4 linked regions of the Rhinolophus ferrumequinum genome follow. The protein of the gene in region 4 interacts with the protein of the main gene of each other region in a biochemical or structural test. Links are inferred from orthologs where the notes say so. Each region holds a gene or a part of one and is shown on either strand. Other genes may lie near its edges. The genes, in order: FOS, MAPK13, MAPK11 and ATF2.

Region 1 (7,815 bases), on a different chromosome or scaffold from region 4:
ATGAAATGGTGTAAACTATGCTTGAGATGTCTTAACACCCTGGAGTGCGTCATGAGCCAGCCCATTTTAGCCATTCCCTGCCCTGCCCATGCTGACTGTGAGATTTTTCTCATTGGATGGGAGGCCTGCAGTTGAAGTTTCTAGTCAGGGTGTGTTGGTGTCCTATAGGTTTAGTGACGTAGATGGGGTTCCTTTGGAATTAGAGCAGCTAAGTCCACCAGAGCTGCAGAAGTTCATCCAAGTTGCTGACAGCCTGGAGAAGACTTGCTTGTCTGCTGACGGGGAGCTCTTGTTTTTGCAGCAAGGTTTGGCATGACGGACAGAATGAGAGTTTCCTATGGTGAAGCTTGGGCTGAAATATGTCCTTCTTAAGCACCATAGCTGTTCTCCAGTTTCATCAGCTTCAGATGGAGCATGTCCCAGGGACCACACTTCTTTGTTTAAATGCTGGCATTTAGCAGAAGGATGGGGATCCCATTGAATCATCATCTCCTGTCAAAAAGCCAAAAGTTGTTCAGAATGAAAACAGTTTTTCTCAGAGACTAAATCTCTTACTAATTAGTGGCGGTGGTGGTGATGGTGGTGCTACGCCTATGCCTCCAATCTTTTAAAATAGGGGCAGTCTTTTTGGTTTCTGTCTGAGCCATAGAGTGAGTAACCTTGACCCATAAGACCCTTAATTGGGCTCACATGTGTGTGAGTCCTGCAGGAATTGTGGAATGCTTCTCCTCTTTGGGTCCAGACATTAAGAATGAATAAATTAGAGGGTGGTGGTAACACGGTCATTGTCACTGCAGACAATGTGGCATTTATGTGTGGGGCTCAATAACAAAGGCAAGTTTGATGTTCCATCACGAACCACTGGGGTGTTCTTTATACACAGAGGCTGCACCAGCTGAAAATAGCTCTAACATCTTGTTATTTTCTCTTTCCCAAATTTTGCCTATTCATACCCAAGAATAAAAGACTCAGCCTGTTCAGCCTTTCCAAAGATTTAACGAACATTATCGATTTGACTTCTAAGTACCCAAAAAGGACAATAATATATATTTCCTTTGCTTGGATAGGGCATTCATCCCTTCAATAGATATTTATTGAATACCTACTATGCACCAGGCACTGTGCTAGGTGCTAATTGAATAACAGTATATGAAAAAGACAAAGGCCAAAAGTATGTATATGCTAAACAAGTCTAAGAAGCGACTTCCCCTAGTCCCTGAAAGAGTTGATTTTGCTACACGCATTTTCCTGACTTCTGGTCCCGTGCTCCGACCACAATCCTTCACCACTAGACCACACTTCCCCAAATAAATAACTACTTCTGCATGCTGGGGACGTGTTGTGCGTGGCAGCATTTACGTAGGTGGCTCAGACAGCAGCCTTTCACTTAATGTTGCAATAGCACCAGGCTAAACACTGACTTCTAGAGTTATTGAACAAATGCTTGATGTGGGTCAGGTCTCTTTACTCAAATGCCAGAGAAGTGCAAAATTGGAAAAGTTTCTATCTGATAAGGAACAACTGCTGAGGAGAAATAAATTTGTTTTCAATTTGGGTTAAAATCAGATGTGGGATTCTACCCTCCTTTTCACTTCTGGATCCCCAAATAGGAGGAACTTAGCACGTAGATAATCACAAACAACGTAAGTTTGGGTTTGAGATGCTCAGGCTTGTCCAGAACGTGGAACCTCTGCCCCGCTGGAAGGCAAAGCGGTACTCAGAGGCACGCACACATCTGTCTCAAAGTCACCCTGACCTTCGCAAATGGCAAAGATCATTTCAATGATGATTCTGATTTCTCTTTATTTTAAGGCTATGTCATGTGAACTCCATATTAAAAATGTGATTTTGCAGTCCTGAAATGGATACTATGAACAGATTGAGATGTGAGAGTGTGTTAGAATGATCACAGGTTCAGATGTTAGTGGGGCAGGAAAGTGAGTCTGAGATTGTATCATCTGATAGAACTGCTTTGAGTTGAGCACTTGCTTCTCCAGATGATGCTCTGACATTTCAATCTTTATCATGTTGTTTCCCAGAGGACAGTGGTTCCAAGCCCCATAATTGTATTGCAGTCACTTCCTCTGATACCTGTCTTCATACCCTCTTCATGGCACTCTGTTCTTACCTCTGTCAAACCACTTAACTGCTGCCCTGCAATTCTCTATTGCTTTGTCAGTCTTCTCCATGAGACTGGAATCTCTATGAGGGTAGGAACAAGTCCACCTTGTTTATTTTAGTAAGCATCAGCCCCCAGCACAATGCCCTACCACACGAGGCTCTCAAGTGTTCTGTTCAATAAATAAAAGAATAAATGAATTCATGGATGGAGTCATGGTCCTTTTCAGAGGATGGATTAAGTCTCCAACTCTGGTCATAATGGTGCCAGGAAGGAAAGAGTTAAGCTATCTGGAGGAGACAGGTTCATCCAAAGCCCATTTGCCCTTTTTATTGGCATAGGCAGGATAAGTTAGGTATGAGATAAATCCTGCATATAAAATCTTGATACAACCTTTAGATGTTGGCCAAAGCTGATTCAAGACTCTGAAGGGGAAGTAAATGAAATTATTCTAGGTTTTCTCTTAAGAGGCTGGAGACACAGTTATGAATGGAATGCAAGACTAGACCCAGGAATTCACAGCCTGACCTACTTTGTCCGAAGCTAATAATGAGAGAGATGGATTTGCCTTCATAGACTTTTTTTTAAATTAAATAATCAAAGATAATGAAGTAGCCTGACCGATGATAGAATTAGGAAAATTGCTTTAGGATTCAGAGTAGCTCTGAGTAGTCTGTATTTATGTATTATGTGTTTTTCCTTCCTCTCCCCTTTTTTAAGAGACGGGGGGGGAAAAAAAGCGCCTAAATTCTCACCGACATAAACCAGTGACATACAATGATGAAATTTTGTTTTCATCTCTGCCTGTGACAGGGAATGCAAAAATAGCAAGTGGCCCAGTTCCACGAATCCCCGCCTCCCTGCCCTCCCTGCTCCCGCGGGGTTCGCATCTCTAAGAATGGAGGTTAGCGCACAGTCGCGCGCGAGCCGCATTCAGCCCGCGGACCCCGTGGATGATGTCAGGCGACAGGAGTGGCCGCAGCCGGGCCGGGCCAGGGAGGCCGAGGCCCTGGGGGAGCGAGGAGGGAGGGCGGCCTCGCCAGGCGGACGGCGCGCCCGGCCGCGCGGCGTCGCCTGGAGACGGCCCTGGCGGCGCTGTGTTGCTGTAAACAGCCGCTTCCCTGTTACTATCTATAGCTGGATCGCCTGGCTCCCGGGTGCGGCGGCGGGAGGCAGGTCGCGGTCGCGCTCCCAGTGCGTCCCGAAGGATCCGCCCAGTGTCCTAATCATTCCTCGACCCTCTCCAGGTGTTCACCGTGACCCCCAGACCCGAAGAGTCGGGGAGAAGGGACACAAGGGCTCTGCGGGGACCTGCGGCTTCGTGCCCCGCAGGTGGCCGGCGTGCTGGGACCGAGCCGGGGTAGTGTGACCCCGGCTGTCCTTTGCAGCGGGCAGGAGTTTGGGGGGTTTCTGGGGGCGCAGCGCCCTCCCGAGCACCTTGTCGCTCCAGAGCCTCGTTTTTCAGGCCACAGAGCTGCGCCTGAGGTCCCAGCAGCAGAGGTCTCCAGCCTGGGCGCTACTGGGCACCGTCCTTCCAGCGCCCCCGGCCCTCCCCCTTCAAGTCCCGGCTGGAAAATCACCCGTTGCGGGCTCCCAGCAAGCCCAGCTTCCTGGGGGACCGGATCGCCCCCACTTCCCCAGCTTGGGCTTGCACTCCCCCAAGAGCTCGCTCCAGTTGAAACCAGGAACTGACGACCTTATCCACATAACATCCCCGACCCCAACCCCACGCCCCGGGCCCCAGCTCAGAATCAGGCAATTGAACCCTTCAGACATCCTTGCTTGGAGGATCTGCACAATGTTTATTGGCTAGTGCTTCAGGGGTTTGACAGTAACACTGATGTCTCCATATATGACCGAGAAAGAAAATGCGCCCTTTTCCTTAAAAACAAAAAATAAAATTAAATGAAAATACCTAGCATAATAGATAAAAATCGGTTATCCTCTTATTTCGGATACCCCGACTTTCAGCTTCCAAACGCACGCAGTAACAGTCCTAGTATTGCTGGAGCCCGTGGGCTTGAGGCGAGGGGATGAAGGTCTGCTTCCACAGTTTGCACAGAACTTGCTAGAATTGGGAATAGAGGAGGAGTCCCCATTCCTTCGCGGGCCGAGGCTTAAGCCCTCGGGGCTGTTTACCTGTTTCTCCAATACCTGAGCCTCAGAACTGTTCCTTGGTTTCTGCATACTGGTAAAAAGGCGCCGCCCCCCTCCCCTCACCGCGGGAACAAGGGTCCGCATTGAAGCAGGTGCTAACGTCCGCTCGCATTCTGAGCCTTTCCCGCCTCCCCTCCCCCGGTCGCGGCCCCCGCCTCCCCCCACGCTGCACCCTCGGAGTTGGCTGCAGCCGGAGCGCAGTTCCCGTCAATCCCTTCCCCCTTTTCACAGGATGTCCATATTAGGACATCTGCGTCAGCAGGTTTCCACGGCCGGTCCCTGCGGTCGTGCGGGGAGCCATCCCCGCAGTCCCTCACCCTAGGGGGTCCACGAAACCCCTAAGACTCAATGCTAAACGTTCATAAGATAAAAAAACACAACAAGACGGGAACTGGGGGCTGCGAGGGCGGCGGAGGCAGCAAGGAGGCCGCAGATGTGTCGAGACTTGCGCGCCACCCCTCCAGCGCAGCAATGGTTTGCGCCGTGACGTCATTGGGCTCATTCACAAAAAGCTGTTATAAAAGCGGTGGCTGCGGCTCCTCGTACTCCAACCGCATCTGCAGCGAGCAGCCGAGGAGTGCAGATAGAGCCGGCGGCGGCGGCGCAGCGAGCGAGCAGTGACCGCGCTCCTACCCAGTTCTGCCCCACGGCTCCTACCTGCTTGCCTCCCTCAGCCCCTCGCCCGGCTGTGACTAACCGCGACCATGATGTTCTCCAGCTTCAACGCCGACTACGACGCGGCCTCTTCCCGCTGCAGCAGCGCCTCCCCAGCTGGGGACAGTCTCTCCTACTACCACTCACCCGCCGACTCCTTCTCCAGCATGGGCTCTCCTGTCAATGCGCAGGTAAGGCTGGCTTCACCGAGCCCAGGGCTCGGGGTCACTGGGGTGGAGGCATCGGGCGGGAAGCTCAGGAAGACGAGTCGGGTACCCCTTTTGGCGGGGAGGGAGCAGCCCTAACTCGCGAGTCCCGGACTTGTGGGGCGCTCACACACGCTTGTCAGTAACAATTGGTTCTCCTTTCCCGCGGCAGGCTCATTCTGAGCTGCCCCCGGCCCGCGCTCTCTGTCTGGTCTCTGACACTAGCTGGGGCAAACGTGTCCCAAGCAAAGACATGCTAACTGGAACCTGGCTTCTCTCGGGAGGCGGCAAAAGCGGCAATCCCCCCTCCCGTTGCAGTCTGGTGCAGGGGCGGGGGAGGAGGGCGAAGCAGGCGGGTGTGTAAGGCAGTTTCATTGATAAAAAGCGAGTTCATTCAGGAGACTCCGGAGCGGCGCCTGCGTCAGCGCAGACGTCAGGGATATTTATAACAAACCCCCTTTCAAGCGAGTGATGCTGAAGGGATAACGGGAACGCAGCAGCGGGATGGAGGAGAAAGGCTCTGCGCTGCCTAATCTTGGAGGAAAAGGGCAGATCTTTTATCCAGGACGAGGGACATTTAAAAAGACAGGAGCAGCCCCTGGCAGGACCGTGTCTACTCCCTCTCTCCTTCCTGCATGCGGCCCTGGGAACTCGGCCACCTGTGTCCCGAGGCTGCTCACTCACATCAGCTTCCCCCTTCTGTTTCGTTCTAGGACTTCTGCACGGATCTGGCCGCCTCCAGTGCCAACTTCATCCCAACTGTGACTGCCATCTCGACTAGCCCGGACCTGCAGTGGCTGGTGCAGCCCACCCTGGTTTCCTCCGTGGCCCCATCCCAGACCAGAGCCCCCCACCCCTATGGAGTTCCCACCCCCTCAGCTGGGGCTTACTCCAGGGCTGGAGTTGTGAAGACCGTGACTGGAGGCAGAGCTCAGAGCATTGGCAGGAGGGGCAAGGTGGAACAGGTGAGGAGTTCATCCGCACCTTCTCTCTACAGGGAGCCGGGTCAGCATTGGTGGAGATGGGGAGCACAGTGGATAGGTTGAAGGCACTGATGGAACTGACTCCACATTCCCAACCGGGAACTCTGGCTCCAAGCCATTTCTATGCCGAGTCAGATTCTGATAGTCCCACCCCAAGGAATATCCTAATAGTTTCTTCCCTAAGAGGTTCTAGCTCATGCTTTTACACCAGGCTCTTCTTCATTCTCTTGCTGAGAATCTTATTTGAAATGCAAGTCACACCCAGGCTGCAACTAACTGCAGGTTACATAGAAATAAATGGCCTCGCAGAAGAGGTGCCAGGAAGCTAGGAAGCTGCAGGAGTCAGTTCGCTGGGGTGGATGAATGGAGCTGATGGCAGACACTGTTATTGAATGTTGGACTTTTTTTCTTCTAGTTGTCCCCAGAAGAAGAAGAGAAAAGGCGAATCCGTAGGGAAAGGAATAAGATGGCTGCAGCCAAATGCCGGAACCGGAGAAGGGAGCTGACTGACACACTGCAAGCGGTAGGTAGATTTCTTGGGTCACTTCTTTTTAAAACTTAAGGGGAAAGTTGGAGATTGGGCATAAGGGAGCAATGTCCTTGAGCAATACTGTGTCTTATGCTTTGCTTTATCCCTCTGTATACAGGAGACAGACCAACTAGAAGATGAGAAATCTGCTTTGCAGACTGAGATTGCCAACCTGCTGAAGGAAAAGGAAAAACTCGAGTTCATCCTGGCAGCTCACCGACCTGCCTGCAAGATCCCTGATGACCTGGGCTTCCCAGAAGAGATGTCTGTGGCTTCCCTTGATCTGAGTGGGGGCCTGCCGGAGGCTGCCACCCCCGAGTCTGAGGAGGCCTTCGCCCTGCCCCTCCTCAATGACCCTGAGCCCAAGTCCTCAGTGGAGCCTGTCAAGAACATCAGCAGCATGGAGCTGAAAGCCGAGCCCTTTGATGACTTCCTGTTCCCAGCCTCGTCCAGGCCCAACGGCTCTGAGACCGCCCGCTCCGTGCCAGACATGGACCTGTCTGGTTCCTTCTATGCAGCAGACTGGGAGCCCCTGCATGGTGGCTCCCTGGGGATGGGGCCCATGGTCACAGAGCTGGAGCCCCTGTGCACCCCCGTGGTCACCTGTACTCCCAGCTGCACTACTTACACATCTTCCTTTGTCTTCACCTACCCTGAGGCTGACTCCTTCCCCAGTTGTGCGGCTGCCCACCGCAAGGGCAGCAGCAGCAACGAGCCCTCCTCTGACTCACTCAGCTCACCCACGCTGCTGGCCCTGTGAGCAGGCAGAGAGGGGAGGCAGCAGGCACGTACTAGTGCCACTGCCGGAGTTGGTGCATTACAGAGAGGAGAAACACGTCTTCCCTCGAGGATTCCTGTAGACCTAGGGAGGACCTTATCTGTGCGTGAAACACACCAGGCTGTGGGCCTCAAGGACTTGAAAGCATCCACGTGTGGACTCAAGTCTTTACCTCTTCCGGAGATGTAGCAAAACGCATGGAGTGTGTATTGTTCCCAGTGATACATCTGAGAGCTGGTAGTTAGTAGCATGTTGAGCCAGGCCTGGGTCTGTGTCTCTTTTCTCTTTCTCTTTAGTCTTCTCATAGCATTAACTAATCTATTGGGTTCATTATTGGAATTAACCCGGTGCTGGATATTCTCAAATTGTATCTAGTGCAGCTGATTTTA
Region 2 (7,909 bases), on a different chromosome or scaffold from region 4:
CAAAACTCCCAGGACAAATTGTGCCCAGCCAGAGACCACATGACCCAGACATTCCACAGTGGACCCGATTTCAAGCATATTCCCCCTACTATTGCTTTCTCAGTGCCACCATTTGGGTCTCCAAACACATCCCCTCACTGCCTCTTGTACTCACAAGACACACAGCAATCTTTGATTCATTCATCACTTACCGTGGGCCAGTGTGTACCGGGGGCTCAGCAGTGACCAAGATACTGTCCTCGGCCTCCCCGAGTCATTTTCCAGTGGTGGAAAGGGACCGTCCCGCAGGCTGGCTGAAAGGACGTGAGTCTTGGGGTGGAGTGCAGGGGAGTGAGGACCCGGCGGTATATGGTGTGAAGAGGGGAAGTCTATCTGCTAGGGCCCGACAAGGCCGGCTGAGAGGTGCCCCTCTAGTGCAGCTGTCCCTAAGCGCTGTCCTCCACCAGGCAGGTGCTAAAGCTGAGGGCAGGGAGAGAGGGGCTGGGAGGCTGCGAGAAAGACTCCTACAGGCGCGGGGCACCTATGAGGTGGAGGAGCCTGTTATTTTGTTCTGCTCAGGCCCTGAGTCCCCTCGAAGGAGAAGAGGTACCGGGGAAAGGTGGCCCAGGAAGCCAGAAGGCAGTAAGCTGCTCCCAGGCGTTCTGAGTCCCCTGAGGGACGTACCAGAGACTTCTGCGGGTGAGGGGGAAGGATGGCACAGGAAGAAGGAGGCTGGAGGGAAGGGTCATATGTGGGAACAGAGTGGAAAAGTCTGGTCCTCCCCCAGAGATCTGCACAGCTCACTACTTGGTCCATTCAGGTGTTGCTCAAAAGTTTCCTCCTCAGACAGACCTTCCCTGAAACACACCGGGGCTGGGGAGGCAAAGCTCGATAACAGTGGGGAAGGGGCACCTCGTGACCACCTACTAAGTGCCAGGCATGAATCAGACACTTCTCACGTCATTTCTTTTAGTCCTCCTGATGGCCCCATGAAGTGGGTAGAATTATCCACTCCTGTTTTACAGGTGAGGAAACTGAGGCTTAGAGAGGCTAAGTAACTCATCTGAGGCTAGCTAACTGACTTAACAAGTTACAGAGCAGCCCCCACGTGCAAGGTCTTCCCCTCTGCCTCTCCTTACCTCATTGAGACTTTGATTATTTCGTGGAGTTTTGAAAGGTGTGAAGGAGGGTGGGAATCTCCGAGTTGGGGCTGGAGCTCTCGGGCTCTTTCATTCCCACAAGGACCCCAGGCATGTCATGATTCCTGTTTGTAGGGGTCATATGGCCACTCATGGTGAGGATCTGAATTGCTGGCCCAACTGCTTGGGACAGAGAGGGCTGTAGTGTTTGACACGCTGCCATATTCTTGAGGTAAGATGGAAACGGGGTGGCCAAGATGGGAGACATGAGCAGCCAGCCTCATAATCATGTGGGGGTCTTGTTTCAGTTTCTAAGAAGCCAGTCATCAATCCCCAAAGCCATGCCCCTGCCCTCCAGAGGCTCACAGCCTCCCTCGGAAGACAACACTACGATAACAGCCATTTCTCAGACATTTGCCGGGCGCCAGGCGGTTTCATTGGTTGTTAAATGTGCAGACTCTGGAGCAGAACACCACATTTGAAGACCACGTCCACAATCTTGTTCGTCATGTGTGACGTTACTGAACACCTCTGGGCCTCGGTTTCTCCATCTGTGCCAGGGAAATAATAGTATCCTAACAGCAAAGCAGCCTTGACATCTAGGAGCTGCCCGTTCCGTGTGGCTTGGAGCTGGCCTGGCACAGCTTGGTCGGGGTGTGCTCTTGTTGCACACAGACAGGCCATCTGTGACCACAATGGATCAAGACAAAAACAAGACCACTCCGGAATCATGTCTGAATGCAGACGAAACATGAATATTGTTCAAACCACGAAAATGACCAAACATCCCCAGTCTAGCTAATCTGAGTGAAGGCTGCTCACAGCTCTGTCTCCATTCTAGTTGGCCCTCCTTCTAGGTAAGATTTATTAAGATACCCATCATAGAATCACTTCCTCTTCCTAACAGCTCCTAATCAGAACAAAGTCCTTCTTCCTTAAACCCTCCACCATCGCCTAACACAAGGCCAAAACTTGTAAGTCCTTTTTAACACCTTCTTACTGAGATGCCTTATGATTCCCATGGCGCATGTGTGCTCTTGCTGCAATGAGCCATAAACCCAGCTCGTCCACCCACAGATGTGTTTCTGGTGATGCTTGGCGGGAGGCGTTGCCAGTCCCTACCTCACTGAGTTGCTGTTATACTGCATCCCCAGGACTCTTTCAATATACTTGTCATGCTTTAATATCATTTCCACTTTATAAGGAGGACACTGAAGCTCAGAGAGGGGAAGGAACTTGTCCCAGGTCACACAGCTGGTAGTGCAGAACCGGGATGGAAATCAGGTCTCCTTCCAGAGTTAGTTTCCTACCCGCTACCTCTGCGTTAATAGGGCAGAAACCAACACTACAACATAGGCCAGTGTCTGGGGGAACAGAGCAGAGGGACCTTGGAGCTCAAGGAGAAAAGAGCCCCAGGGGCTCTGGGAGGGGAGCTCCCAGGGCATCCTAAGGGACTCTCCCCTCTTCCTCTCCCATTTGTGACTTCCTTAGCTAGATCCTTCTCTCCAAGGCTGCCTTGCTACTGAGTAAACACAGGCCCAGCAGAGGCCCGAGGTGGGGGTCAGTGTCAGCAGAGCCTGAGGCCTGAGTCACTTCCTGACCGTTGCCTAAGAGGCACCAAAGCCAAAGTCTGACTGGTCAGCTCGTGCCGTTGCAGGATTGCACCCACTTGGGCAATGAGTGTTTCCCTGGTACTCCTCACCTTTTGGGGTTCACCTCTGCCACACTTAGGTGTTCTAGACACACAACAGAGTCTCAAGGCCCTGGAGAATTGGATCCTCACCCAGAAGGAAACCTAAGTCTCCTGGACAATTCTGTCTTGCCAGTGCCCAGTTCTGAACTCTGGCTTCCAGGACGCTACCCCAACTTCAGAAATAGGGTGCCGTCCACCAGTGTCACCAGCCCCAAAGGTTGGAAACTTCCACAGCCCTCCCAGGCACCTAGCCCCTGCCCTTTTCCTCCAACAGGGTCTCAGGGCCAGAGTTGGGGGTGGGGCAGGGAAGAGGGTGAGCAGTATGTCAGATACCCTGGGCAGGATGTACTGAGAGAGACATAGTTTGAGAAGTAGACATGTCCTCATGATGTAGGTGAGGCAGATGATTTCAAATGCAGGCCATTTCCTTTAGGGAGCAATGCCTCACAACCCAGAGACACTGCATAGCCTCAGGGCTGAGATCATGGACTCTAGAGCCAGGTTGTACTAGCTTCTTCAACCCAGCTCTGCCCCTTACTAGCTGTGTGACCTTCAGCAAGTTACTTAACCTCTCTGTACTTCAGGTTCCTCATCTCTAAAATGAGGATAATAGTACTGACTCATCGGCATCTCACCAGGATTAAGGGAGTTGTATAAGTAAAACACATGACTGGCACATGGCAAGCACTAGTGTTCATTAACTAAATATTTTTTCACTTCTAAAGTGCTGACTCTTCCATTTATTCTCCATACAGTCTTTGATATCCTACAGTGTGCCAGCTATGAATAAGACTGATTCCCTGCCTGCAATGCCTGTTGGGCATTTCTGTGGGATCCTTACCCCCCACCCCACCCCCAAATGGTCTTCTCAGCTGTGTCTCATGCTGAAGGACTGGGTGGGAGGGGCTATGGCACAGGGTTTGAGGCCTGTTGACACCCTAGTGAGGCCCCCCAGCTTGATGTAGGCCATGAATGAGTTCCTTTTCTTCTTCAAGACATCTTCTCTCTGTTTGACAAGGTGAAGCAAGTGGTCCCTACTCCTTCTACAACCCTCTGCCCAGGCCAGCTAGGGGTTGGACAAGTCAGGCTGGACATTGGACCTCTGTGGCCATTCTCTGATCCCCACCCTGTTCCTAGGAGGCCTCTGTGTTTTCACTTGAGCACAGAATTTTCTTCAGGCTACACAAGCCACCAGACACAGGTGGTAGAAGGCCCTGGCTTGTCACTGCCTCTGGGACCCTGGGAAGCTAGCAAAAACTGTGTTCAAAACTGAAAATTTGAACCTGGACTGGAGAATTACTGTTACTAATTCTGGGTGTAAAAATGATCTTGTGGTTATGTTTTTAAAATAACCTTTATCTTCCAGAGATAGGAAAAATATTTATGGATGAAATATGACGCCTGGTTTTGCTTCAAAATAATGGGGGAAGAGGGATGTAGATGGAATAAAAGTGACTAAGAATTGATATAATCGTTGAAGATGAGAGATTGGGGTCACGGAGGTTCACTAGAACCCCACCATCAGAGTGTGGTCCACAGGCCCTCTGAGCCTGGGACCCGGTTAGAAATGCAGAACTTTGGCTCCACCTCGGCCGACTGACTCAGAATCTCTATTTTACTAAAATAAAATTCCCAGGGGATTCGTGTGCACAGTCAAGTGTGGGAAGCATTGGGCATTTTGTCTACTTTTGTATATGTTGGAAACTTTCCATAATCAAATGTTGTGGGGTTTTGTTTTTCCGAAATTGTCTTCAATATCCTGGAGAGATCTTCCTGCAGAGTCCCGGGCTGCAGAGAGCGGAGAGGCCCTGTCTCCCCACCCGCCGCCCTTCGCGGGAGCCCCTCGGTCTATCAAGCCTCAGCCCCCACGCCAGCCCTCGGCCGGGAAGCACCCCTTCCTGCAGGGCAGCGCACCTGCAGCCACTTTAGCCCGGCAGCGATCCTGGCGGAAACCCGAGGCTCGGGGCACAGACTGTCTAGGCAGGCCCGGGCGGGGCCGCGCGGCGCACCTGGGCGAGCCGGCAGGTGGGACGCGCTGCGGGCCGGCCCCGCCCTCGCGCGGGGGAGGAGCCACCGGCACGGGGCGGGCGCGGACCCGACAGCGGGCGGGCCCGGGTGCTGGGAGCCCGGCGGACCTGGAACGCAGCCGCCGCGCTGGGACAACCGAGATTGGGTTCGCGGAATGAGCCTCCCCCGGAAAAAGGGCTTCTACAAGCAGGACGTCAACAGGACCGCCTGGGAGCTGCCCAAGACCTACGTGTCCCCCACGCACGTCGGCAGTGGGGCCTATGGCACCGTATGGTGAGACCCCCGGGCCCGCGAGCCCACCGGGGTGGGGAGGGGAGCCGGGCGTCCGGGCGGACAGACGGCGGGCGCCCAGGCCCCAGGACACAGGTGGAGCCTCCCGACAGGCGGGGGCCGGGCCAATGCACCTCCTCCGCTCTCCCGGACCCGCTGTGGGTGTCCCCTCCCCTGTTGGGTGCCCGGGGCCGCGCGCTCACCACCTTGACCGAGGACCCCACGGGCTTGGAAGACCCTCCCAGGGGCTTTTCTTCGGCCCAACCTGTGGAGCTAGGAGGAGATAGCAGATTGGGCTGCAAAGTACAGTATGAGTGAGAAGCCTCAGGCTGTGGTAGAGGCTGGCCTGAGGCCACCCCAGGCGCCATCTCACTTTCCTCACTGGCTTTGTGGGGTCCCTGTGGGTTGAATTAGGACGGGTCTGGTTCTCCAGGACTTGAACCTTACAGGGACCCTGAAGCTCTTCCGGAAGAATACCCATTGTTACAGACGGGTGCACTGAGACCCAGAGAGGGAGAAGTGTCTTCCCCGTTGCAGAGTGAGCGTCCCTGGGGCTCTGGATTCTGGTGTCTTGAACTTGTGTCTGACGCAGGAGCGGTGCACCTCTGTGCCGGCCTGCTCTCTCCCGCAGCCCCACTCCCAGTGCTTCTGGCTGCGCCCTCACATTTCAGGCAGTGGGCGCCCGTTTCTCCCTGCCTAGCCTGCTGGCCAAGGGGGATTTGGGTGAGGATGGCCTGGCAGACACCACCCAGGACCTGGAGTGGGCACTTCCCGGCCAGGAGAGTGCTGCCTGCTGACGTGCCTATGCCTCTCCAGCTCCGCCATCGACAAGCGGTCCGGGGAGAAGGTGGCCATCAAGAAGCTTAGCCGGCCCTTCCAGTCTGAGATCGTTGCCAGGCGGGCCTATCGAGAGCTGCTGCTGCTGAAACACATGCAGCATGAGAATGTAGGCTGGGTCTGGGGCTGCTGGGGAAGGCAGGGAGGAGAGGGGAAGCCCAGACAGGGTCCTGACGGGCCCCGTGTGTGCACAGGAGATGGCTCCAGAGGGTACAGAGCGCTCAGGACAGGTCCAGGAGAAGGGGAACCACCTCCCTGCTCCTCCAACTCTTGTTCCCGCCTCATTACTAAGATGGGGTGCAGGACCTGCCCTGCTTACTTCCCAGAAAGGGTGCAAAGGGTATGTTGGTAGTAGATCAGAATGAGCTTGGTGAGGTGCAAACTTCCTATCTCACTGTTAGGAGGAAATGGACACAGAGGAACTTTGTAGTTTGTTCTAGATCTAAGAGCTAGGGCCCAGAATCTAGGTTAATGTTTCCACATGTGACCCTGATAATAATAATAATAATCATAGATACTTATTGAGCCCTTTTTATGCACCAGGTACTGTTCTAAGAGCTTTGCATAAACTAACTTGTTTAATCCTCACAGTATCACAAGTACTATTACTTCCATGTACAGATAGGGAAACTGAGGCATAAAAAGACCCATAAGTTATATGGTTAGTCAGTGGCAGAGTTGGGACTTGAACCTAGGGGGCCTGGGCCCAGGCCTCAGTGCATAACTATTAGACTGTGATATCTGATAGAAACAACTAGGAAAACTAGTGACCCAGTGTTGCACCTGGCAAGCAGGTTTTGCTCTAGAATACCTAGATTGGAAAGCAAACATTTAAAATAATGTTTCAAATTTTTAATGCACATTTTAAGCCCCATTCCTCTTCAGCAACCCTCCCCATGGCCTCTTGCCTCTGGCTCTGAACCAGCCCTCTGGCAGGCAAGAATGGATGTGATGGGAGACCCAAGGTCAAAGGCATGGAGCCTGCTAGCTGGCAGGCCCATCCCCTGTTCCCTCCTTGATTCTCTTCACCACTCGTGAGTCCCTGCTTGAGTTGAGAGTGGGTTTGTGCTGTTTGCCGTGAACACCAGACTTGGAGGCAGTGAGCACACCTCCGCTTCTACCCAGCATGATTCCCCACTGAGCACTGAAAGCTCCCTTCCAATTGGGATTCCTCTCCGGCTGCTGCCCCTTTACTGCTTCCAAGAAGGCTGGGAACCTGCCTCCTGCTGGAGATGATGTCTTAGCAAAGGGTGGGTGGTCCTGTGTATGGCTGGGCGTGGAGGGGGCTGCTCAGCCCTCACTGGCAATCTTCTCCCCAGGTCATCGGGCTCCTGGACGTCTTCACCCCAGCTTCCTCCCTGCGCAGCTTCCAGGACTTGTGAGTTGGGCTGCACTGGGTTCCAGGGTATTGCAGGCCTTACGCATCACTCTGGAGCCAGCTTGGGGAGGGTCCAGATTCTCTCTTCTGGGGCGGGGGCTTCCTGCCCTGGCAATCCTTGTGCTGTTGTTGAGGTGTGATTCTCTCTGGAGAGATACTTTCAGCCAAGGGTACGGAGAAGGGCAGGCAGGAAGAGGTGGGAGGGGCTCTGTGGGGTTCTTGCCCAGCATGGAGCTGTCTGCTACATACCCTGTTTCCCCCAAAATCAGCTCTTTTGGAGCAAAAATAAATATAAGACCCAGTATTATGTTATATTATATTATATTATACCGGGTCTTATAGTAAAATAAGACCCGATCTTATATTAATTTTTGCTCCAAGAGACACATTAGAGCTGATTGGCCGGCTAGGTCTTATTTTCGGGGAGACACGGGAGGTGCTTTGTGTGTTACCCAGCTTTAACATCACCAGAACATCATGACCGATCCTCCCAGGGTTTGCACCAACTCACTTCACCATTCCCTTGGGGCCCAGGTGTGGGTCTGGACCTTGGGGCTCTTCCTAGCCTGAACCCAGGACCAGGAA
Region 3 (7,541 bases), on a different chromosome or scaffold from region 4:
GGAGGGCGACCCGGCCCAGGCCCGCCGGCGCGCCACCGCGGGGAGTCCCAGCTCACATTCTCGTGCTTCAGGTGTTTGAGCAGCCGCAGCTCCCGGTACGTCCTCCGAGCGTGGATCAGTGACTGGAAGGGGCGCGACAGCTTCTTCACCGCCACCTTCTGGCGCAGCCGCGCGTCGTAGGCCGAGCTGCAAGGGCGTGGGTGAGGCGGCCGGCGAGGGCCTTGCGCTCACAGACACCCCCCGCCGCCACTCCTCTGCGGGGATGGCACCGCTAACCCACCCCTGCTCGCCCGCCGCTTTCCTCCCTCGGCCCGTTTGCTCCAGAGGATCTCTCGGGGCTGTACCGCCATCCGTGTGCTGCCGCAGGGTCCCAGGGATGAGAATGTGACCTGCTCGGCCTCTGAGCCTCCTTCCTCAAGAGGCAACTCCCCCTCCACGGCACCCGTACACGCAGGCCTTCCCAGCCTGCCCACCAGAGAGCCCCAGAGCAGGACTGGATCTTTTGTCCCCTCACCCCCACGACTCTCACGCCCAACTCAGCGAGGCTGGGAGAGCAAAGTGTCCACTGACCAGGGTGGAAATAACACACCAGAAAAACAGCTACTGGCTATTCCCACAGCAAACAGTCCCCCTCCCCCATGGGCTGTGGGTCTGGAGGCTCCCTGAAGGTTTCAGAGCTGCCTCCAAAGCCTCTGGATACGCAAAATAGGGAGGAAAAACTGGCATTATTACTTGCAACAGTGAGCAACCCGACAGAAGGAAATGTCTAGCCGAAGGTGGTATTTGCATCCACAGATCTTCCGTGGCTCAACCCGTCCTCAGAGGTCCAGACCCTCCACCTGCACACCCATCTCCTCTTCATGGGGAGACACAACAGTCACTGGCATCACCCCCCCCCTTGACGCCCACTGTGCCCAGGACAGGGCCCTGCTGAAGGCGACTAGCTCCACAGGCCGCTCCCTCTAACTGCTGCGCCTCCCTGACTCTTCACCTCCTGCCTCAGGACCTTGCGGAGTCCACACAGTCCCACCAGCAGCTCCTGCAGAACCAGGTGGTGGGGGGAGGAGAAGCCAGGTAGGCTCCTGGAGCATCTGTGCCCCTCCTCCTAGCCTGTGACCTGCTGGGGAAGGTTCAAGTCACTCCTGGGGTGGGAAGTAGGGGTGGGCCCCTCAGGTGGGGCAGCAGATCCTTTGGCCTCATTGTGTCTGTGCAGTGGAACCACAGGGAGTTGGCCCTGGGGGGACAGCTTCATCAGAGGAACAAGGGAGCCCAGGAGAGGGCTGTCACCGGCACTGGGCCTCATCAAGCTAAGTGCAGTGGAGAGAGACCTGGGCCTCCCTTGGGAGCTTGACACTCAAGAGGAATTCCCAGAAGGTGACTCTGGGCCAGAGGCAATTCCAGCGAGGGCTCGGTCAGATTCCCCAGGGGCCATTCACACTTTGTCCCTGACCCTCTTGCCCTTGCCATCTTAGAGATAAGACAGAGGCTGTGGCTAAAATGGCCTGCCTGAGGCTCCTGACAGCGTTGACAGCGTGAGATCAGAGACCATGGGGAACCCAAACCCCTCCTCCAGAGTCCAACACTGGGTCTCAGGTTCGGGTCCACTGGAAATCCCATTCTTTACCTTCCAGATCCTGGAGCAATGCCAGCCCCTCGAGGGCCCCTGCCTCCTCACCGCATGACCCCTGCAGTGGACAGCAGTCACCTGCTACTGGCATGGGTAAGGACCCCACTGAGTGCTGAGGGGGACACCTCTCAACATCCACACCCACGATCAGCTTCACTTTTAACATTACAAGTGACGCCGGGACTGCCTGCAACCACCTCACTCACCCTAAGCCCCCTGAAGCTTCCCCACCCTCCAGGGTAAAAGACCTCAGCGCTCGAACCCTCCGTCTCCCTTCCAGGCTCTGTCCTCTCTCTGGGCCCCAGGACCTAACTGTGGGGCTGTGGTCTTGAGCTCTTTTGGTTGGGACAAAAACAGGGTGGGGTGTACCCCTAAGGATTGTAGGGGTAGTGGCAGACGTCTCTGCTCAGGCCTAAGCCCCATCCAGACTCTTTTGCAAGACTGGGGAAGGGGCAGGACCCACGGGAAAGCCTGAGGCCATCCTAAGGGGAGGGGTCTTGCCCTCTCCCTAGCTGGGCTCTTTTACAAACCAAAGTACCCGCCCTAGGGCGGGGGCATCTGCCAGATCTCTGGGCTGCCAGAGCCTAAACGGGGCGACCCAGATGCGTGCTCGGACGTCTATGGTCCAGGAGACCCGCCCTTTCGCCGGCTGTGACGCCGCAGGATTCTGGCCTGGTGGGGGTCACTCTGGCTCAGAAGGAGCGGGAGACGACCCCTCTTCCCCCCCCGGAGCCGCGTCTGGAAAGTTTCCTTCCCGTCTCCCACCCCCCATTCATTCCCCAGATCCGCGCAGGGCCTGGGGCGGAGGCAGGGCGAGGCCCCTCCCCACTCAGGGAACCCCCGCCGGGCGGGGAGAGGGTGGTGGCGCGCGCTCAGTCCCTCCCCTGCCCCCCCCGCCCCGCCCCTACCAGACGGAACCGTAGGCGCCCGAGCCCACCGGGCGCAGCCCCTGTAGCCGCTGCGGCACCTCCCACACGGTCTTGTTCAGCTCCTGCCGGTAGAAGCCTGCGCGCGGACCCGACATGTCCGTCCGCGCCCCCCGCCGCACCGGAGCGCGAGCCGAACGCACGGAGGGCGGTGCGCGGGGCGGGGCTTCGAGGGGGTTCCCGGAGACAAGGCGGCTTCCTGCCCCTCCGAGGCACTGCTGAGCGGAAACCGGCACTCCTCCCGTCTCCCTGGGGCGGTCCCGGGGAGGATGGGCCTCCGCCGGGGGGAGGGGGAGGCCAGGATCCGACTTACAGCCCCTCCCGCTTATACCTCCTGGGGTCCATGCACCTCTCCAAATACCCGCCCGGGAGCCGCTGATCCAGGCCGCCACCGCCTCGCACCGCGCTCGGCTTCCCGCACCCTTCCAGCCCACACCAGCGCCGGCACCTCCCTTCTCCCCACCTCGGGTCCTGCACCCCGTCCCTCCCTGCTCCGGTGCGACACTTACAACTACTCCCTTCGCCTGCTCGGGTCCACGCGTTCCCCCTCCCCACACACCTGCTGCCGGGCCCTGCACCCCCGCCACCAGCTGCTTCCTCAGAAATGAAGTAGAACACTCAAAATCAAAGAAGCCAGGGCGAACCCTGGGAGACATTTCTCATCAACATAGAAAACACCGCCTAATAACAGCGAGGCACTGGGTTGAATCCGCCCCTCTGCGGTGGGCAGATGGCGCCTCGGTTCCTGGGCCAGCCTGGCCCCTCCCCGTGGAGGCCATTCTGGCTTGGGCGGTGAGGCTTGCCTCCGGGCAGACCTTCCTCTGACGTCGGCCGCCCAGCGCCTCTAGGGGAAACTGCGAGGCCTGTCAGGACCAGGGACAGCGGCGGCGCCCGGGGACCCTCCAGGGTGTTGTCCCCATAAGAAGCTTTCCCCAAATGGGTCTTCTTTGGTGCCTGGTACCTTTCCTCCTTCTGAAACAGCCCCGTCAACTGTCACCTCTTCCAGGAAGCCCACTTTGACTTTCCCAGGTATCGGGGAGCCCCTGTAGTTGGCAACCAACTGCAGTTCCCAGGGGCTGCGAACTCCTGCAACGCACTTTGCTTGAACGGTTCAGTTCTCACAGGCTAATAGGGTGCTCCCCTGTGCCAGCAGGATAGTCTCGCTCTCTGCCCAGCGCTCTGGGCCGGCGCATCTGCTTGTCTTTCCCCCTCCAGTGACTAGGGCTCGGAGGAAAGGACTCCCCTTGGATAAACGCCTCCTGACCCCCGCCCAGGCAGTGGCTGGGCTGCCCTTCCCAGGAAAGCCGGAAATTAGGCTCCTGAGTTGGGCAACCTTCTGCTTTTTCGAAACAAACTAAAACCTGAGTGTTGTTGTTTTAAGGAGGGCGCAGCTCACACTGGCCCATACGGGGATCGAACCGGCAACCTGGGTGTTATCAGCACCTCGCTCTAACTAACTGAGCTAACTGGCCACCCCAGTTATGGAACTCTCCTGATTTTTAAATATTGGCAACCAAATGAAAATAAAATACGTCAACGCAGAACCGGGCAAACAGACATGTCTGCTGGCGAATCCGGACTCCGGGGATTCGAGAAGTGAGAAAGGAAACGGTTTGAGTCCCAGCCACGCCCGCCACCCGAGCCACCGGCCCTCACTTCCCCCCCCCCCCCCCCCCGGGAGGCGGTATCCCTCCCCTCGCCACCCGCTCCGGGCCTCCTCCAGGGCCCCGCCCTGGGCTCCTTTCTCCGGTGGCCGAGGTTTTGTGCGGAGTTAATGGGGCTTCAGCTAAAGCCGAGGGCTGGGCGGGAGCTGAGCCGGGCTGTGGGAACCGGGCTGTGGGGCCCCGGGAAGGCCTGGCCTTTGTCTGCGCGGACCCGCGGGCTAGAGCGAATTCCCATGGCGACCGGCCGGGTCGCTGCGCGGAAGCTGGGCAACCCCGTGCTCTCCCCAGGGGTGGGGGAGTCCGCCTGCTCAAGGAAGCCCATGCCGGACCTTGCCCACCGCTCCCCCGGAATCCCGGTGGTGAGTGGTCAGAGCTGACCAGAGAGGAGCGGCTTCCCTGCCGGGCTCAGTGGATCATGCAGAGTGGGGACACTCACTGAGCAGCCCCACCACGTTGTCTTCTGGGGAGGGTCCGGGTTGTAACACTGCAGGGGAACGGCTAGGGAGAGTTTCCGGTGGGGGTGACGGCAGGCAGAGTAGGGCAGGTCGGGAAACCCGCTGGAGAGGGGACACTAGCAGAGCTGGGCCCGGCATCAAGAGAGCCCTGACTCTCAAGGACTTAAGGAACAGAAAGATGGGTGGCCCTGGGCAGAGGCCTGTGGCAGGCTGGTGGGGGAGGAGCACAGCCCGGATTTCCGACTTTTGACATCAGGGTGATGGGAAGTCTGCTGCATATTTTCCTAGCATCCCCCAGGCCACCACGTCAAGGTTGCCACCTCTGGGTGAGAGCACTGGACCTGGAGCAGCGGGTGGTGTGGGGCTGGGACAGCAGCTGGGAATGTGGTAAGATGGGGTGTGTTCACCTGGGGGACAGGGGGCTGAACAGAAGGGCCGCCTACCCAGGCCTGGCCTGTTCTCTCCACCCTGTGACTCATTGTCACCCCTAAATATCTAGAGCCCAGCTCTTCTCTCCACGTCCACTCATCCCTCCTCTGGTCCAGGCCACCGCCTTTTCAGCCCCTTGCTGGGCTAGCTGCACTTCTCCCAGAGGTCACAATAAACTTCTTAAAATGCCATTCTGGCTGGGGTGGGGGGGTAGGGTTCGGGCTCTTAAGCCAGGGGGTGGTGCCTGCAACTTGGAAGTAAAAGTCCAGGGATTCCGGCGGCCCCCTCCCATCACTGTCTCTCCCCACTCCCTCTACCTTGGAGAAAATGTAAGTGGAAAGCAAGAGGTCTGTCAGCATCCTGACCACTCAAGGCTGGCCTGCCCTTCCCATGCACCCCAACATCCAAGCCCGGTATCTACCCTTCACCAGCCCCACGGAAGGCCGGCCCTGGAGCATTCACACTCCTGTCCTCCAAGGCGGGCACCCCACCTGATGGACCTGCGGCCCTTCCCCTATCTCCACGCTTCAGAGCGGAAGAGGGTCTCACTGACTTCCTCATCTTCTTGCCTGGTTGTTGGGAGTGTGGAGGGTGGGAGGGCAGAAGTGGCCCACACAGGTCCAGTCTAAAAGCCAGGCCTCAATGCCCCCTGCCAGGCTCAGCACTTCCTCCTAACTCTGATTTAGCAGTAACTTGTTCAGATTTCCTGACTAGCTGTGACTCTGGGAAGCGGGGAGCCTAGTGTGCCCATAGCAGTGTCATTTCAGGGGTCCCTGGGCAGGGGCTGTCAGTTGTTTGCCTAGTACCCCTTCCTTGTGGGAGATACCCACCCTCGTTCCATGGGGCTTGAACGGGGCGCCCCCATGCATAGTGGCTCATGGTCAAGTCCTAGCCCAATGGGAGTCTCCAGTTATGTGCCCCGAGGGGAAGAGTCACAGGCTGGGGCTGCCTGCCACCAGCATCTCTGCTGCCCAAGGATAAACCCACATGAATTGGGAAGCAGTTCAGATGGCTGGGACCCAGACATGTGAGCACCTGGATCCAGCCATACCTGCAGCTGCACCACCTCCACTTCCTCATTCTGGAGCCGCCAAATCCCCTTTCTGCGTAGGCTGGTACTCTTGGGGCACAGGGGCTCCCCCAGAGCTGGCTGTGTCTGTCCCATTTACTGCTGTGTCCCTAGTGCCCAGGACAGTGCATGCAGCCTAAGGGGATGGACGCACAGATGCTGTGCACTCACCTGCACACACACGTGCCTGGTGGCTGCAGGTGGCACAGCTCAGAGGCCCTGCCCTGTGCAGGACATGACTGGGAGCTCCCCCGACTCTGGCATCAGCAAAGGTGCCAATTGCTCTCCCACACAGGGCCCTTGAGCCCTACTGATGCCCTGAGTCATCCTGGGTGGTTCAGGGGACAGAGGAGAAAACCCCCTAATGGCCCCACTGCCTCAAACAGGGGGACACCGGGCTGTCTACCCCAGAGCCAGCCGTGTCTGGTGGGGTCTGCATACAGTAAGGTAAGGGCTTACTAAATGTGTACTGGGGGGACCCTCACCTCAGAAAGAAACAGTCCCCGAGAACTCAAGGTCCAGATGGTAGGCTGATACCATGCCCACCCCTAGCCCCATGGCTCCTAGTGGCCCAGCCCAAAGGGGGTTGGGGGATGTGTTGGCCACCAGAAGGTGTCCGGCCAGCCCAATCCCCCAACTTCCTTGCCTGGTAGGGCTGCCTCCTTGTACCTCTCTGGAACCACAGTCCTTTCTGGGATCTCTTTTGGGCCTGAGCTGCCCCCAGCCCCTCCCATACCCGAGGCTTCATCTGCCAACACTTGACCATCCTGGTCTCTGGGGCGGCAGAGCAGGGAAGGTGTGGACTCAGTCAGCTGGTGGGCATTAGCCTCTGCACAACCCCCAGGCCTGGCCCAGAGTAGTCAGGGAGGTGGGCGGTGTGAAGCCCACAGGCTCACCTGAGGGTGGGATCCTAGGGCCAAACAGGGCCTGGGAGGGAGGCTGTGAGCAGGACAGCATGTCGGACTGCCCCAGGAGGAACCCAGCCAACCAACCAAGTTAAAAACACAGTTGTATTTGATTTATAATTAACACGATTTACAAAAAGAGTGGGGATGGTCCTGGGTAGAGCTGCTCCTGGTCCCCGAGACCGGGGCAGGGCCCCCAGGACAGCCTGTCTGACAGGCCGAGGCCAGGACTCCCAGTAGGCTGGGTCCCCGCTGGCCGCCTGGGCCTCGACGTCTGACGTCCGGCTTGACCTTTGAGGTGGGGCCCTCAGCACGAGTCCACCGGGAATGCCGGTGTCCGGCAGGGCAGGCCAGGTGAGGTCAGGAAGGCATCGTACCGCTTTTCTCCTCCCGCCCAGGCAGGGCGGGCAGACAGTCGGGGCATAAGGCCCTGGGGCTGCAGGCACTCAGACCCCACCTGGAGAAG
Region 4 (7,832 bases):
AGTCCCAAGGTTTGCCTCCTCAAATAGCTACATAGGTTGGCTGAGTCTTTCAGTCCCTGGACAGCTCAGTATTGTTCCCTCAAGACTTGTATCTAAAGGAGAGCTCAAAGCATTTATCCATCTCTCGAGGTATCTAAAATGTCTGTAGCTCTCAAGTCCTCTAAAGTCATATAAAAGAAGTAAGCTTACAATACTGCATGTTTTCATACCCTTGCTGTATTTTCTGAATAGCACTTGCCATTTTTTAAATTATCTCACTGTCTATACATGTATTGTGTCTCCTCTCTCCAATGAGATTCTCCTTTAGGGACTTTGTCTTGCTTATAGTTGTAGCCTCAGAGCCAGAAACAGTGCCTGACATTTTCATGCTCAATAAATCTCAGCTTTATGAGTAATGAACTATAGAGATAGAGCATTCGGTTGACAGTTAACCCAAGAAGCCTGTGTCCAAGGTAAGAAGGTAACTGGAAAGAGCAAGGTATTAGTCTAAAGGCCCAGAAGGGTCCACGTGCCGAGATCCTCCTTGGTTTCTGGCATTAGGAATTCATGGCTTTTGTATTATGTGGGCCTCAGGTTGACAAACAGATTAGCCGTGAAGGGTAGATACTGGAATGCCAGACAAAATTATTTACCCTAGGAGAGATTCTATCTACTTTTATTGGAAAGCAGAATATAATGAAAAGCCTTCTTTCTAGTGAGTGGGATGAAAGATTGGTTGAAGGTATTGGTATGAAAGATGAAAATAAGGCCCTTAAATTGCATTCTCTGTCCTTGGGCTGGTCTCACTGAAGCTGGTATAAACTAATTGGTATGATTTGAAGATAAACACAGCCCTCTCATTTATTTCCCCACAATGCCACACACAATAAATACATTATTTTGAGAAACCAAAGATTGGAGGTGGGAGGTGGACATGGTCCTCCCTGCAGTGAAATGTTCTGAATCGACATTTCCATAGTGAGGATAGGCCCTGGCAGGTAACTATAACAGGTCATTGCGGCAACGTGCACCCTGGGCTGTCAGAGATGGGGAAAGAAGACCTGCCATGAGATAGAAGCTACCCTAAAAATCAACTAAAATGTCTAAGGCCATGCTGTCCTCCTCTCTCTGGTATCAGGTAGGTGGATAATCATGCTCTGCTTCTTCCACGCCTTTTGTAACACACACACACACACACACACACATCACACACCACACACCCTAGTGAGTTCACTGGCAAAATCCCAGCTAATGCACTGTCCTGGGCAGCGTCTTGTGGATACCTGGGAAAATGCAGAGGCTCTTTCCCTGAGTCCAAGGCAGATATAAGGGATATCCTGGAGTATGTTATGTTTTGTTTAGCTATAGACAAACAGAAGCTATGTTTTATAAATTAAATCTTCCCTCCTTATCTATCTAATTTGAGCAAGGTTTTAGTAGAATTCTTATAAGCAATACTATAAAATGGCTTAACAACCACATAATACTTCTAAACGAGGTGGAAATACACATATGTAGCACTTGGAAAGTTTTGAGAGCATTTAGAGGCCACTATTTTATTTGTGTGGTATTTAGTAATGGGTATTTTGCAATAGAAACAAGTTTTCTTCTCATAACCTGTTCTTGTAATAAAGGATGCCAGTTTTATCCTGAGTTCTTAAAGGAGGTTTACCAGATCCTTACTAATTTTCCTAGGAGTAAGCTGGGTAGACGCATGCATGGAATAATAAGGCAGGCAAAAAATGGGTCCAGAAGAAGCTTCCTGCATTCGTAAAGAAAAGATTGGAAAGACCATTAGGGCTTTTGGGGAATACTGAGGAATGAGGAAGTGTGAAAAAAACTGAAATATAAAGAAAGTATTTTATAAGGATATGGATAAATATGAGACTTACACATTCACAGGACCAGAACCAAAAATAATTATATTCATTTTGTCTACACCAATGTTCTCCACTTATAGAAAAGCTATAGTAAATGAACTGCTGTGGAGCTGGTAAAGTGAGAGCCTTTGCTAACCGCCAGGCTGTCAACATGCATACAGAACAGATTTGCATCCTTCCCACCCGTTTTCTCCCTGATCTCCTTTAATTTTATCTCACTTTATACCTTCTCTTTAGAAAATTAGCTTAAAATGGCATTCTCACAGCAAATAAGAGTACTATTTGTATTACTAAATGATTCTTCTCTTGTCTAAGAGGACTCCTGAAAGACTTTCTTTAAAATAACATGTACCTCTAGTACAGGGGTATCCAACCTTTTTTAAACGTTTTTCACCCAGGGCCATATGCGGTAAAATACACAAACAGCCGGGCCACTCACTCGAGGTGAAGTACGTGTTGCCTCACCTGGTTTATTTAAGTAAACTAAACATATTTTTGGAATTTGCTGCGGGACAATAAAAAATGGATCGTGGGCTGCAGTTGGCCTGCGGGCCACAGTTTGGACACCCCTGCTCTAGTGCATTATGTAGATAATTACTTAGACTGGAGAAATAGGGACAAAGAAAAATTTAAAACCGAACCTGTCAACTGAAAACAAATCAAAATTGGAGAAAAGAATTTCAAATTTTTGATATGTGAATGAAAAATAATAGTTTAAAAAACTACTCTAATCGATGCAAACTTCTTTTAAAATGCCATAGCATAAAAAAAAAATGCCGTAGCATTTATAGTTTTTTTCTTCTCACATTAGACAATTTGGGAGATGGAGAGAAGTAGCAACACATTAGGTAATAATGTATTCTAGACGTAAGAAGTTGTGATTTGTTAGTTGCACATTTTGTCCATTAGATGTTCATCATCAGTATTACACTACACACTAACTCTACTACAATGTTATTGCTACTATATAGGGAGGGTACTTTCATTTAATTTGAGAAGTAAACAGTGTTAATAACCTGGCTTCTTTCTGGTCTCTTTTAATGAAATTAGTTTTAAAAGTGAGTTGGCTCTTGTACATGTATACAGGCCAGAAACCTGTTAAAGACCCAGTGCCGTTACAATTTCACTTTTATGCCAAATACCATTACGGAACTGCAGGTTCATTAACTCTCAAATACTATCTCCCACAATCTTCCAACAATTTCGGTTTCACTTTGGTTTAGAGATGTTTGTGAGTGCATTTTATGTTAATACTTAAAATTTACTCATAATTTTTTTGAAGACTAGAAATCAGCACCTACCAATGGAAAACAAGAAAGTGAAAATAACTTGCTTTTTTAAAAAGTAGTTAATGGAAATTTCACAGGGGCCCTGGTCATATTTTTCAATTTGTGCCAGTATGCATTTATTGAACAATCAATATCCCTAAAGTTAACATTTAAATATTTAAGTTGTATAGAGAATCATAGAACATTAAGAAATATTTTCAGCATTGTACTTCTGTGTTTTTAGGAGTTTATCTGTGACAGTGATGGCAGAGAAGTAAATATGGTCTCTTTTGTCTCTCACGTTAAATTAATCAAGTGATCTGCCCCTCTCCTCTTCTTAAACAGCTACTTTCAAAGCTTGACAGACATTTCTTTGGCATTGCAGCCACCTATTAAGCAGTGGGATAGTATTGTGGAAAGAGTGCCATCTCTATGCCATATTCTAATTTGGTGTCCTTTGGGTCTCTCTAAAATAGAGTTGTTGATGTTTTAAAGATCTGAAATTATCTCTACTAAATTGATAAATTTTATCTATATCTGCTAAGTAAAGGAAATTAATAAAATGGGATACACCGTAATATGGGAGACTTTTCTTATAAACAAGTTCTTGCACTGTTTTAAATTAGTGGTACAGTAAAAGGCATTCTATTTCCTTTTGGTAAATTACTTCGAACATAATTATATGCTAACATCATACATACACTACACTACTACCACATTTCCCCGAAAATAAGACCTAGCCGGACAATCAGCTCTAAATGCGTCTTTTGGAGCAAAAATTAATATAAAACCCGGTCTTATTTTACTATGTGACCCAGTCTTATCTAACATAAGACCCTGTCCTATCTAACATAAGACCCCGGTCTTATATTAATTTTTGCTCCAAAAGACGCATTAGAGCTGAATGTCCAGCTAGGTCTTATTTTCAGGGAAAGGCTGTAGGTGCTTAGGAGCTGAAAGAATCACTTCTAGAGTTATAGCTTAGGGAAATTCGAACGCCATTCAGAGTAAAGGTTTTTTTCTTTTCTTTCTAGAACTGACATACTTGCTTTCCCGCTTCAAGCTTGTAGCTGGTTTGCGGGTTTTTTCCCGGCAAACTCCGCCCCTCCCAAACCTCAGCGTAATCCTGACTCCCCCTCTCAGGCTTCAGGGTACCGGAAGACGGGTTTAGGCGCGCGCCTCCCTATGCTTTACCTTCTTCCCACCCAGGGCCAGGAAGTGACAGCAACGGAAATACCGGGCTCCCGGGGCTGGGCTCGGGGGACTCAGCCCGCGCTCTCTCTGCCACTCACAGCCTTTCCAGAGTTCACCTTGCCTCTCTGCACACCGTCAAACTCTTCCCGTGACCTCACCCTCCACCTGCCCCAATGTCCCACACCCAGCCGGCTGCCAATCACAGGCTTCCGCAGGGCCGGGCTACCGAGACACCTCCATTGGCTCTGTGGTCTCGCCCCCTCCAGAACTGCTGCCCGCCCTCCGGGCGCTTTGTCCAATCATCAGCTACTGAGTGTCTTTGGTTCCGCCTCCTCCATCCCCGCCTTCCTGAAGTCCCGCCTCCTTCCCCTCAGGTCTGACGGCATCACCTGACCCCGAGGCGCTCGGTCTGAAAGAAGAGAAGAAGGGGCGTGAGCGTGGAGGGGAGGGGCACGAGAAGAAAGGGGGGGAATGCCGGGAGTGGGGCGGGGAGAAGGCTTGTCAATCCGATCTCGCGAGAGAGGACGGAAGCCTGTGGGAGCCCGTGGCCTTTAAAGTGCCGTTCAGCCCTTTCCTCCAGGGGTAGTTTGTAAACACGGTTGAGCTCAGGCCTCGCTGGCGACCGAAAGAAGCATGAATGAGTGACCTGGAAAGGTGAGTAATGATGGGGAGAGGGCCACAGGACTAGACACTGTAGGGATACGGAGAAAGAAGGCACTAACATGGCGACGTTGCTCACCATAGTCTCCACCCCCCGCTCCCCATCACCTCGGGCGCTCCTGCCTCGGTTCCTAGCCTCCCGGCCACTGTGGCTGTGCTGCCGCCTCGGCCGCCGCGCGGCGTCTGCTGCCCGAGCCCGACCGGCCGGGCCGGACCGTTAGGTAACCGGTGTTCGTTGTTCCGGCCCCTCCCCGCTCGCACGCTTTCCTAACGAAGAGGAAAAAGGAATAACGGCTCTGAGACCCCTCCCCCCGGTTTATCTTCTCTGGTCAGTTTAGAGGGCCCTGGGCCACACGTCGGATGCGCCCAGGGCTCGGGGAGACCGCTTCTACCCTGGAAGAGGGCTGGCTCTGGTCTCCCCACCCAGGACTCAGTGGTTGGGGACTGTGTTTGTGATGGTGGCGGGCAGGTGGGTAGGGAGGCGCGGCTGAAAATAGGGTCAGGGTCTCTCTGGCTGCGGTGAAACGATAGAACAAATGGTATGGAGAACCTGGGACTTGGAAGTCTCGGCCTTTCCTGTCCCTGCTGCCCCCGCCACCCCCCACTTTTTCCCGCTGGGGCGGGGCTGAGTGTGGGTGCAGATTGATTCTTGTGTTTTCCCCCATATTTTACCTCCTTGGGTGCACTGCAGAGCTGCTGGTGGGAAATAACCTGTGCTTTTTATCAATGCCCGAAGGGCCAGAGAGAGAGAGTTCTGTGTTCGCTCATTGAACCGACGCTGGAAGGCGGGTGAGGGTGAAAGACCTGGGACTACTTTTGTGCCCTTAGGTAGTATAAAACTGTCTTTGCTTAATGGGGAGTCTTAAAACTGGTGAGGCCAAGAACAAAACTACAGTGAATACGATGGCATAAAAGTGATAACTCCTGATGGACCTTAGGCCTATTGAGTAATCCCTAAATTATAATGTGAAAGCTACAATTTCTTAGGAATTTTAAATTATGGAACCGGTAACAATGCATAAATTTAATGTATGTATTTGAAATCAGAACAAAACTGTTCTCTGAGCACACTTTTTGTCCTATGTGAAGAAATTCATAACCACTGGCATTGTCAGTAATAGCCTTTCTAGGCATAATCTTTAAATAACCATGTATTCTTAGTCCATTGTAACAAAGCTATGAAGGTGAGTAGCTTGTTAAAAAGTCAACCCTACAGGATTAAGTGCCCTAATGACACATATAGTAGCAGTTATGTCTCCTAATTCAATTTGCTACACTGACTTGAGGAATCCACTGTACACTTTTCAAAATTGCAGGAATATTGATATAAAGTATGTATTATAAAAAAAGATGTCTTTCTGAAGATCAAGTAACAGAATAAAGGAAGTTCATAGATCTTTAAGGCCATCAATCATTAACAATTAACAATCCTAGTCTTTGTAATTTATAGGAATCTTGCAAATTTACAGTGGTGTGTATGCTGCTTTCCTGAAACATGTTTAATCTTTGAGAAGATGCTACTGCCATTACGTTTTAAATTATTTGAAATATAATGTGGTAATTTAGAATTTGGTTGTTTGTGTTTGAATTGTCAGTAAGAAAGGAGCTTTCAGGGACTTTTTTGTGTGTTTTTAAGGTACATAATGCCTTCTGTAGATCTGATTGCATTTCCTGAAAGTTCTTTTATAAATACCTTATTAGAATATTTCATATTTGGGGCACTATGTTCTGTTCTATTAAATATGTATTCCAGAAATCCCTGTATTTACTTTTTTTAGTTGGAGTTTTTGTTTCATATTTTTCAACTAAGGTAAAAGTAGAAATGGTTATTATGTCAGCTCTTTTAACAAATAACATGCAGGGATGATTGTTTTTGATATTCACTATTTTGAAGCTATGAATATCAAAAAATTATATGCTATGCATCGAATGTCTGCTACTTGTAACTAGTATTACGTCTCAAGAAATCATTACATTTTTTCTACCTAAATTTTTGTAATTTGGAAAAGTTGGGTTTTAATGATTTATATGTTCTCTGCTGGTATTAAAATTGTTAGATCATGTTAGATCAACTCTGGATCTTATTATCTGTATCAGCTTAGGCAAATAATCAAACCTCGTTTAAAACCCAATAACAACAATTGGAAATTCAGTTCATCCTTATAGAAATCAATGCATGTAGTACTTGTTATCTATTCTCTGTAATTAAAATGTACTTTAAAAAAAGAAGCTATAAATTTGCATTGCTATACTCAGTAGTTTAACTTAGTATTTCTGTGTTTATCCTATACTCACACCTATTCCTTGAGGCTAACTAATTTACCTAAGATGCTACATGTTCTCTTAATGTAGTTTTTATTGGTGAGGTAATAGTGATAGTATTTACCTATTTCTAGGGAAAAACACCACAAAACATGTTATTTCTTTTGTTCTCTTTCTTGAGCTAACGGTTAAAAAGTTAGTATAAGGTATAGTTTCATGGGCATTTAAGAAAGTTTGTGGATCTTTAAGGCCAACAATAATTGGAATTATTTTACATATATTATTATAAATATGTCATATGTTATAATTAATAATTATAAATACATATACAGAGGGTTCCAAAAATTATACACATTTTAAGAAAGAAAAATACTGTATTAAAATTGTAATACTCAATATATACCGATAACAAAAGATGAATACAAGTCACATTTGACTTCCGCAGTTACAAGAGGTGCTCAAAGTGGTTACCGTCAGTGTAATTTTAGTACAGTTTTTTCCTTTCTGTATACATTTTTTTGGCATCCTCTGTATATTATATATACTATTTTCATTTATTCTGTTAACCTTGAAACTGGTATATTCGTTT

What was found.
Region 1: the proteins of ATF2 (region 4) and FOS form a complex in vitro, tested with the Homo sapiens proteins (3 studies listed by BioGRID and IntAct, with this or other methods). The link is inferred for Rhinolophus ferrumequinum from reciprocal best matches to the Homo sapiens genes ATF2 and FOS.
Region 2: of the proteins of ATF2 (region 4) and MAPK13, one has a biochemical effect on the other in vitro, tested with the Homo sapiens proteins (2 studies listed by BioGRID and IntAct). The link is inferred for Rhinolophus ferrumequinum from reciprocal best matches to the Homo sapiens genes ATF2 and MAPK13.
Region 3: of the proteins of ATF2 (region 4) and MAPK11, one has a biochemical effect on the other in vitro, tested with the Homo sapiens proteins (4 studies listed by BioGRID and IntAct). The link is inferred for Rhinolophus ferrumequinum from reciprocal best matches to the Homo sapiens genes ATF2 and MAPK11.

The regions. Positions count from the first base shown.
Region 1 is NC_046289.1:23,387,390-23,395,204, reverse strand, and holds the start of FOS (protein c-Fos), read left to right. Parts: upstream 1-4,812; 5' UTR 4,813-4,980; coding exon 4,981-5,121; intron 5,122-5,849; coding exon 5,850-6,101; intron 6,102-6,534; coding exon 6,535-6,642; intron 6,643-6,766; coding exon 6,767-7,408; 3' UTR 7,409-7,815. UniProt on the Homo sapiens protein: Nuclear phosphoprotein which forms a tight but non-covalently linked complex with the JUN/AP-1 transcription factor. In the heterodimer, FOS and JUN/AP-1 basic regions each seems to interact with symmetrical DNA half sites.
Region 2 is NC_046286.1:6,070,737-6,078,645, forward strand, and holds the start of MAPK13 (mitogen-activated protein kinase 13), read left to right. Parts: upstream 1-4,897; 5' UTR 4,898-4,993; coding exon 4,994-5,112; intron 5,113-5,925; coding exon 5,926-6,055; intron 6,056-7,265; coding exon 7,266-7,324; intron 7,325-7,909. UniProt on the Homo sapiens protein: Serine/threonine kinase which acts as an essential component of the MAP kinase signal transduction pathway.
Region 3 is NC_046293.1:431,019-438,559, reverse strand, and holds the start of MAPK11 (mitogen-activated protein kinase 11), read right to left. Parts: upstream 3,007-7,541; 5' UTR 2,652-3,006; coding exon 2,536-2,651; intron 187-2,535; coding exon 57-186; intron 1-56. UniProt on the Homo sapiens protein: Serine/threonine kinase which acts as an essential component of the MAP kinase signal transduction pathway.
Region 4 is NC_046291.1:50,154,254-50,162,085, forward strand, and holds the start of ATF2 (cyclic AMP-dependent transcription factor ATF-2), read left to right. Parts: upstream 1-4,821; 5' UTR 4,822-4,975; intron 4,976-7,832. UniProt on the Homo sapiens protein: Transcriptional activator which regulates the transcription of various genes, including those involved in anti-apoptosis, cell growth, and DNA damage response.